3 separate regions of the Mus musculus genome follow, and regions 1 and 2 are each reported to be linked to region 3. Evidence: microRNA targets listed by miRTarBase, many of them from high-throughput screens and not tested one by one. Region 3 holds a microRNA gene; each other region holds the end of a gene's coding sequence.

Region 1 (3,000 bases), not on the chromosome of region 3:
TTTATGAACCTTCCGCTCAATGGTTTGTTCCTTCCTAAGGATGTCCCCAAGTCAAAATAAGCCAGGGGACCAAGAAGGTTTTCCTTGTGTAGAAGCCCCCAGGTCCCTGCATGTGGGGGCTTATGGAGAGACTTCCTACACTGAGATCTTGCCCGGTGTGAAAATCTGACTGCTGGTGTGTGGTGTAGTTAGCGCTTGGTGGCTGCTGCGCATGCTCGAGGACAGCACTTCCGCGGTTTGTTCTCCGGCACGTTGGGTTAGGGAAGAGGGCAGGCGTGGGTTGGTTTCCAGGCATGGCTGCTGCGCCCGGAGCTCATCTTCGCTCCTTAGATGATGTTTCTCCTTCAAAGTGCCGTTGTCTTAGAAGCTGAGATGCTGTTTTGTTTTGGTTTCGTTTGCAGGAACATATAACGTTTCCACCCCAGAGACAACCAGTTCATCCCTGGAAAATTCCTCTAGTGCTTACTCACTGCTCAACTAGGACCAGACAAAGCCAAATCCACAGGCCCTCTCCGAAACAGGGTCCGTGGCAGGAAAAGAGACCCATCCAAATCTATGGGTAACGTGCTCTCTCTGCAGACTTCTGGGAGCAGATGCTGAAGAGACTCTTTCAATAGAGAAGATGTTTTCTTTTGTAAAGACAGACTAAAAGCAAAGGCCATGTTTATTTTTGCTCCTAGCCCTATCCCATGTGTAATGCCAACTATGTATAGTATTTAAAAGAACCCTCCCCACAAGGCTCAACTTTTCTCTATGTACTGTAAAATAGAATTTTGAGGAGATTTTTATACACACACCCCCCCAAACACACACTCACACCATTGGCTACAAAGATAAGAGTTGATTGAAACAGTAAGTAAAAGGCTAGTATCCAGGAGTTCAGTGACTTCAAGGAAGGAAGGAAAGATGGAGGGAATGAGGGAGATAAGCAGGAAGGAGGAAAGATGATAGAATGGAAGGAAGGAAGGAAGGAAGGAAGGAAGGAAGGAAGGAAGGAAGGAAGGAAAATGTAGAAAACATTAGGGAGCACATTTTAAGGTTTCCACAGTTGTGCTCTAATATGGCCACTCATCTGCCACAGCTCCGAGAATGAAAATATATGGCTCAAAAACAAAATGAAATGAAGTCATGGGGGATATAGTTAGCAAGTTCCTGATCTTTCCCAGCTAAAAGGATAAAAGAGAGAGGCGGGAAAGTAGAAAAGAAAGTAGAAAGGAAGAGTCGGCACGAGGATGCTTCTGGCTGGATAATAATATTTGCAGGCAATGCACCCAAGGAGACACAGTTCTCATGACAAGGACACATATGAACCTTTGTATGTCAAGGTCTGAGCAAAGCACAGTGAACATGCAGAGCACGTATGACAGCCACTCTGTAAGATTCAAGAAAGGTTCATCTCTCATGATCTGTCAGATACGCATTGTATGCTAATTTGTTCAGCCTTTTGAAAGCCATGCATGCATATGTACATATTTTAATCCCATAATTGACAAACTTGATCTACCGCACTGAGCTCAGAGTCCTACGTCTGTCGTACATGTAACAACAGCTTTAACCGGGTACTCTCTGTGCATTGTAGAATAGATTTAATAATTATGTAGCATGTACATTTTTATTTTGTACTCGTGACTTCATTGTGACTGTGGTGATGACAGCCCTTGGTGTGCTGTCTGTATTGCTGTGTTCTATCCCTTCCCAGCCTTCTAAGTTCCTAGGCCAATATACATTCAGAGTTTCTATGGTCTGATTGGTGTTTCTTGCAGCCACTTGGAAGGAGAAAAAGGACCTGGCTCGATAAGCAAATCGCAGATCCCCCACCCCCACCCCCAAGAATTAGATTCTGAATTTATGCCCGTGTGGTTTTTTTGTATGTGTGTTTCTCAAATTACAGATATTTATTAAAACTGCATCCATGTTAGAACTCACCAGGTTCCATATCCAAGAGCAAGCATGCACCCCACATCAGGGTGTCAACCCAAAGGAACAGTGTCAGTTAACTTCTCATTGCTGTAGTAAGACACATGGATGAAAGCAACTTACGGGAGAAAAAGGTTTGTTTTGGTTTACCCTTCGGAATATAGCCCATTACGGCAGGGAGAGCACGGCTGTAGGAGCATGAAGCCAGCCCATCACACCCACCACCTCAGCAGTCTGGAAGTGGGATCAGGCTATGAGAACTCAAAGCCCTCACACAGTGACATCTTTCCTCTAGGCAGGTTCCACCTCCTAAAAGTTCTATAATCTTCCCAAACAGCACCATCAACTGGGGGCAGAGGGTTCTGGTACGTGGACCTATGGGAGACAATTCACATCCAAACAACCACAAGCTGCAGACCCTTTAGGACCGACGTGCAGCATTGAGTTTTTATAGAGTGAGAGACTGTGTGGGTCCTTCGTTGGGAAAGACAAGATAGAAGAGTCTGAGGTCTGACATCCATAGTTTTAGGTACTTTCAGTCTCTTAGTTCTAAGCTTGAAGTCTATTTCTGCTTCTCCGTTCTTCATAGCGGAAGGGCAGAGTGGGGCATACAAAGTCCCGTCCCTTGGGTTCCGTTTCTGCTTAAGTGCCATCTTCCCACACTTGCGTGAGAAACACCACACGCCTATCCCAATTTAATGGCTCATTATTTAAAGTTCTTACAGGAAAGGAATCCACAGGAAATGTGGATAAGATCTCCAGGGAGTCTCCAAAGCAGAGCAGAGTTCAGTAGAGGGAAGACAAGAGGCGTCTAGGATGGGACATCCTTTGGATCAGAATCAGGTGCCAGAGAAAGAATGGCCAGGAATGTTCAGCCCCTTGAGTTGCACTAAGGAGCATCAAGCCAGAGGGATTTGCATGGTATAACAAGGCAACATGGACGTCTTGGAAGCTCAGCACCAGGAGAGGCTGGGGCCGTTGTGCTCAAGAATGCAAAGATCCAAAGTACACTGAGCTTTGGCCCACTTCATTGGTGCCTCTTGGGAGCCATGGGGCTTGACCTTGTAAGGAGATCCTCCACAG
Region 2 (3,000 bases), not on the chromosome of region 3:
TAGTCTTTGTTCACTCAATCCCCCTTTCAGATGTCCCACGCGGTATGTAGCACGGGTGTCCTATGCTACAGAGTGGTCTTGTTCAAAAACTTTTGTGCTGTCCCCACAGTGCTGTACCTAAACCCATAAATCAGAGTCCGCCTTCTAATTTGTAGGCTTATCTGGTAAGTGGTACCTGTCCTTCCTTATTGACCTGCCTTGTTCCTTGACTTCCCGTCCAGGTGGGTGTTTTACACTGTTTGGAAGAAAGCTAAGCCTTAAAGATGAGAATGACGTGTGCTGCGAGCCACCTTCCTGACCTCCATATGCCGTATATGCCATCAAATGTGTCAGGCAACTGCTCATGAATTCCTTCTAGTGGTTTTCACTTTTAATTATTATTTTTAATTTAAAAAAGCCAATGGGAAAAATGTATATTTTGATGAGTTAGGATGTTAATTTTAAAAAGTCAGCCGAAGGACAATTAGACAGCCCAGCAAAGACTGCAGAATGCACTGACCCCCTAGAATGTGATTTTAGTATTTTTTTTTCTCTGTGTGGGGTTTGGGTTTTCATTTTGGTTTCAGTAGACCTTTAATTTGGACATGTGGAGGAATGAACATCATTGTTTTGTTCTGGAGAGAAGTTCCTGATAGTGTTTCTCCCCTCTCACCCCCAAATTGACTTAGATATTAAAATTTGGTGCTTTTAAAGGTTTTAAAAGAGTGATTAGCAGTGCTTCAATTAAAATGACAAAGGAGACCTCTTACGGTGTTTGTCCCTTTATTTCAGCCTCTCTTCCTCTTTCTTACCTCTGATGGCCTAGGGCAAAGGTGTATTCTATCTAGACTGTTAACTGCACTCAGCATAATGTCAAGGCCTTGAGGAACGATCCACAACCTATTATATTTGCCGCCCCCCCATTATAAAGTTGTTCCAAGGATAGCAGAAGATTTTTGCCTGCCTGAAAAGGGTGAAAGTCAAAGATGATTTCTGTTACTGCTCTCCCTGATTAGAGATCCAAAGGCCTTTGAGAAGACTGTAGGATGTGCAAGTGCACACTAGAGTTCATGTAGTCCTGTGGCAAAATAACTTAACTCTTAAGAAAGTGCATGTGAATAGCAACTTGGCATTGTATTGTGGATAATTTGAATTGTCTATCCTATTGTTTGTGTAAAATATTTACACTGTATCAGTAGAATGGTATTTTTTTTTACAGCAAGTAAAACATTGAAAATTTACTAATGGAAATCAGGCTCAAGTTTCATTGTCCCTCCCAAGATAGGAAGGAACAAATAAGACAGGACAAGACAAATGATCTTTAAAAGTGAGCGCAAACCTATGCCATTTGTTTTAGATTGACATGGAAGAAGAAACAATAGAGAATAAAAGGAGTTGATAGTTATGTTCAAATTAGATGCATTTAACAATATTTTTGGTGCATGCATAGGGTAAAAACAGCCCAGTAGACACTTCTCCACCCAAATTCTTCCCCAGTGCTTTGAAAACTTTGTATATTGTGGAGAATTGAAAACAAATGTACTGCTACAGTTAGAATATTAGCTAAGGCCAATTGCCCCTTACCCACTGTACTGTTATTCTTACGATTACTTTTGAAACAGTGACTGTATGTATGTAGCCCAGTCTAACCTGGAGCTTATTATGTAGCCTAGGCTTTCCTGGAAGCTCACAAGAATTGAGCTTGTACCATCACACAGCTTAATTCTTGTTACCATTTAAGTAAAGAAAGCAAGTATATCAGCTGCTGGGGTAATATTAATGAGGGGACTGACCTGCGTGATCCGTGAAGAGTAACTTGAGGCCATAACCACAGATCCACTCATAATTCGGGTGACTCAGTTCCTGCTAAGCACCAGGTGGTAGAAATGAAGAGGATAAGGTTATGTGAGGCTAATTGGTTATGAGATGCATTTGGGATAAAATGAAGGAAGTGGTGTTGAGGAAAGGAGGAAGAAAGAGGTTTTTATCTTGAGTGATAAATGTGAACTCAGATGTGACTGATTTGCTGAAGGAGGGTCTCCGTTTTGAGCCCTTGTTATTTTGACACCGAAGCATGCAAACTGAACCAACACCCACCCTACCCTGTGCTCTACTCCGACCCACCTTCGCTTTGGCTGCCTCTTAAGGAATGCTAATGGATTTGTTGTTTTTCTTAATACTGTAGTGTTATGTAGTGTGAAAGATTCTTTTAACAGTGGAATATATTATGGTGTCCTGCTTTTTTTTTAATGAAAGACAAAACAAATATGGATAGAGTTTAAATTCTGTTCAACACAGCAGATACTAAGAATTGATTTATTAAGACATGAAATGCTGCTTTCTCTTGGAAATGTGATTGAATATTTATAAAAGAGCTCCACCTGGGCCGGGGAAGGCTGGGTTGGTGGTGGTTTTAGTGGGCTAGAACATTACTATCTGAATAAACAAATGTGCTGCTTCTTCCTGTAGACTTGGAATAGTCATGTCCTTGCTTTCCCTAACAATTGCTGACACAAGACTTTGTATTTCTGCCTGTCATCTGTCTCTCAATAAATGGATCAATTTCATCCCGTCTCCATTATGCCTGGGAAAGGGAAGGAAAATATGTGTTATGTTCTGGCTTGGCCTCTTTCTGAGCTGCTCACACTGGTGGTTCATCTGATAGTTCTGTTTTCTTTCTCCTTCCTTTTTTCTTTTTGGTTTGTTTTCAGACAGGGCTCTCTGTGTAGCCCCAGCTGTCCTGGAACTCTGTAAACCAGGCTGGCCTCGAACTCACAGGAATCCACCTGCCTCTGCCTCCTGAGTACTAGGATGACAGGCGTGTACCACCACCACCCTGGCAACAGCTCCCCTTTCAAAGCACTTTATTGCCACTGAGGGGTTCTCTCTGGTAAGACTTGCTCAGAAAAGACAACAGTACTTGTTTTCATTGTGGAACTAGCTACTTAACATTCCTCTGACAGCATATTTTTTTTGGGGGGGTGCATACTATTCTAGAGGCCAATTGGTCAGCAGTGTTAT
Region 3 (3,148 bases):
AGGTGACCATGCACTGTACCAGCATTAAGAATGGAAACCCGTCACGGGCAATCTCACCTCAGATACTAGGAACTGCACGTGTAACCAACTGGCCTGGCTCTTCCCTAAGTATCATGCTAGCCCCTCCAAGCCCTCATGGTATTGAGAAGCACCCAGGGTACAGGGCATTTGAGCATGCAGCCCTCGGTGGAAGCCTTAGACAGGGACAAACACCCATTGTTGTGGCGGGAAAGAGGCATGGAAAGTGGACAGCCATCCATTGCACATCTGGCCAATGCTTCGTGGCCCAGCCTACAAGGTTGGTGCGATCCCAGGAGGCTCCTCAGAGCTGAGGTTCAGTGAAGAGGGGGTGACAAGCGTCATACAGAGTCCATGCATTTACCTACCGGGCAGTGGTGTGACACCTGGTATGTACTGCCGAGTGACCGGAGTGGCAGGTGGTATTGAAAACAGGCCATCTGTGTTATATTCGTCATTAATAAAGCGAACTCATCACAGACAACCTCTCCTCAAGTACCCAGTGTTGACCGCAGCAACCCTGGAGCTGGAATCACCACCTGAAGCTGTCCTGGGGGGAAGGGGGGGATTGCATATAAATGGTGAGTAGGGTTGACACAGGCAGCACACAGCCTGTTCCACCCAGCCCAGTTCCCCGCGGAGGCAGCAACCTAGAAGCACCATGCTGTCCCCACCCCCACAGGGGCTGCAACTCCAAGAGCTTCTCCAAGCTGAGCGTTGATACTGAGAAAAGATCAACCATGTATTATTCGAAGTCAGCCAAGCGAATATAACACGGTCGATCTCCCTTCAAGTACCAGCAGAGGTGTTGAGCTGAGGCTGTGACATCCTGGGCGCAGGCTGCAGCGGGCACCGACGGCTAGTGGACCAGGTGAAGTACATTAGAAACAATTACTTTCCAGCTGGTCGACCATCCGTCCCATACCCCAGAGCGAGATGAGTCCATGGTCTTCCCTGAGGTGGCCTCCCTGGAGGGATTTGATACCGAAAAGGGGTTCACCGAGCAACATTCGTCCTCCAGATGCAAAGTTGCTCGGGTAACCTCTCTCCGAGTACCACGGAGAGGCTCGGATGCTCAGAACGAGGCCGATGGCTGAGTTTCCAGAAGAACCATCCTGGAGCCCCTCAGAGATTATAACTCCCCATTCAGTGAGGAGCCACCCTCCACCACGTGAAAGCAATTATTCCATCACCTCCCCAGTGCAATCTACCACCCTTTCACCTTCCAAGAATATCTAAAGCCTTCCCAGACAACCTTGAGACCCAGGTAGCGAGGAGCTGACTCGGGGCAGAAGTGGGTGCAGAACTCTGCTTACTCTATCTCTCCTTTGTAAGCTGGAGATAGGGAGATGCTGAGACCCTGCGCATATACCACACCACCCTCCCAGAGACGATGCCTTCCAGAAGCGAGGAGGCAATGACTGCATCATCCAGAGATGCTCCTCCTTGGGCCCACCCAACCACTGCAGCCCCACGACCCTGGCATCCCCGCCCTGTCACCTGCCCCCTCCCCCCACGGTGATGTCATAGCAAGAACTGCTTGACCATCCAGTCCTATAAACCAAGCAAGTAATGCTTCAAAGATAAACATGGAGGGAGGAGAGAAAGAACAGCGGAAGGAGATCCCGCAGGGTCCCCTTGTGCCAGTGTGTATGGCTGCCCCGCACGAGCACGCCAGGGAGGGCTCTCCAGTAAGGGTCAGGATCCATTGACTTAGGCCATAAGCAGAGTATGGATTCTGTGTTCGCCACTCATTTTAAAACTCTTGGAGTGTGACCAACATCAGAATCCCTTCTCTGATTTTGGCAAGAGTTCACACAGGCTTCTAGCCTTGCTGCAGGGCAGCAAGAGACTGGTCACATGCAGTGTGTCATACGGGGAAAAGACGCCACGGGCAGCTTCATGTAGGTGTTCTGGAAACTGACCTGTGGGACAGAGGCTCTTTCCCCAGCTGGCATCACCTCCTGGAAATGCTCCTAAGAGGCACACAATGGCGATGATGGTGGCTAACGGTAGCTACAAGATCCAGTCAACAGTATGGGGAGGGAAGCTTGTCCAGGTTCTTCCTCCAAGCACTTGTCCTGGAGAGAGCTCCAGCCACTGACCAGTTCCAAGACAATGATGTAGCCTCTGGAGTCCTTTGAGGTAAAGATCCTTTTGGAAAGAGAGCCACCATGAAACCTGGTGCTCATCACACCCCAGATAGTATATTAGACCCTGGATACATCCACTCTAAAATGACCTCCCGTACGGGCCTAGCCCTTCAGCACCAACAATGGGTACGTCTTTAAGCCTAGCCCTGGGAGCTGGCAACATGGAAACCCAAGGAAGGGCAGGCCCTAGAATGTTCCAGGTACCAACTGCTCGGCAAGAGCAGACTCCCCAGAACCAGTGTCTTACCCGGAATGTTTCATGAGGATCGAGGAAAGTGAAGAAGACTGCTCAGTGGGCACGTGCTCTGGCACTGGTACCCAGTCACATCCTCCAGGTGACACCCGCCAGCTTCTGAATACTCCATGAAGCTCTCTGTAAAGGTTTGGGATGGGAAAATAAAGTTTAGCCACATTAAAAAAAAAAACCCACATGGTGACCAGTCCTTCTTATCACCCCACTAGCTCTAGTCTATATCCATAGATTTCCCCATCTCAAACACCACACCCACATTGATTTTCATAAAAAAACATGCATTTCTTTCCTTTTTTTTTTTTTAAAGTAAATTCCATTAAACTAATCCAATTCCCTGTTTAGCTTCCTTGACTGTGCTGTTGGGCCATTTTCATTTCTTTTATTTCCCTTGTTATTTCCTCAAATCATTTTCATTAGGATCAATTCTTTCCCATTTAAAAATCTGAACGAAGATTTGATTCCTCAATGTGCGTTCATCTACCACAAATATTACTGCTCATAGCATCCGCCACTACTGAAGCTGCCCCTTGCGGCTGCCATGTCTACAGAGTACTGTTTCCCCAGGTCAAATGTCGCAGCTCAAATGTTGTCAAGAAAATTGGATTCTTCTGCCAATTTGTAGTCAATTGAACACATTTTCCTCCAAGCTATTCTGGTAGTTTGTGGTGTTATTTTGTGATTATTTTATCACTATTATTTAATGTAAACGGGATGAAATGCTGGT

Evidence for each region. The annotated mature microRNA mmu-miR-409-3p reads GAAUGUUGCUCGGUGAACCCCU and lies in region 3 at 1,009-1,030, opposite strand. An mRNA with a match to its seed (bases 2 to 7 or 8) in the 3' UTR can be bound and repressed. Matches are read on the target gene's strand: a 7mer-m8 pairs with bases 2 to 8, a 7mer-A1 pairs with bases 2 to 7 and ends in A, and an 8mer does both.
Region 1: the mRNA of Adgrf5 is a reported target of mmu-miR-409-3p. Seed matches in the 3' UTR shown: 7mer-A1 at 1,016-1,022.
Region 2: the mRNA of Sms is a reported target of mmu-miR-409-3p. Seed matches in the 3' UTR shown: 7mer-A1 at 2,405-2,411.

What each region holds. Positions count from the first base shown.
Region 1 is chr17:43,454,855-43,457,854 of GRCm38, forward strand. It overlaps Adgrf5 (adhesion G protein-coupled receptor F5), which reads left to right. Exons shown (of 21, transcript NM_001081178.1): 21 at 402-3,000. The coding sequence ends at 481. Among named protein-coding and RNA genes, the nearest start is that of Gm25135, 2.1 kb to the left of the region's middle.
Region 2 is chrX:157,443,398-157,446,397 of GRCm38, reverse strand. Sms (spermine synthase) reads left to right here. Exons shown (of 11, transcript NM_009214.4): 11 at 222-2,547. The coding sequence ends at 261. Among named protein-coding and RNA genes, the nearest start is that of Gm24281, 14 kb to the right of the region's middle.
Region 3 is chr12:109,741,086-109,744,233 of GRCm38, reverse strand. It overlaps Mir409 (microRNA 409), which reads right to left and starts at 1,076; the gene lies at 998-1,076. It overlaps Mirg (miRNA containing gene), which reads right to left. Exons shown (of 8, transcript NR_028265.1): 3 at 2,419-2,544; 4 at 1,944-2,172; 5 at 816-877; 6 at 387-568. Mir541 (microRNA 541) reads right to left here and starts at 1,825; the gene lies at 1,736-1,825. Mir412 (microRNA 412) reads right to left here and starts at 945; the gene lies at 866-945. It also overlaps Mir369 and Mir410.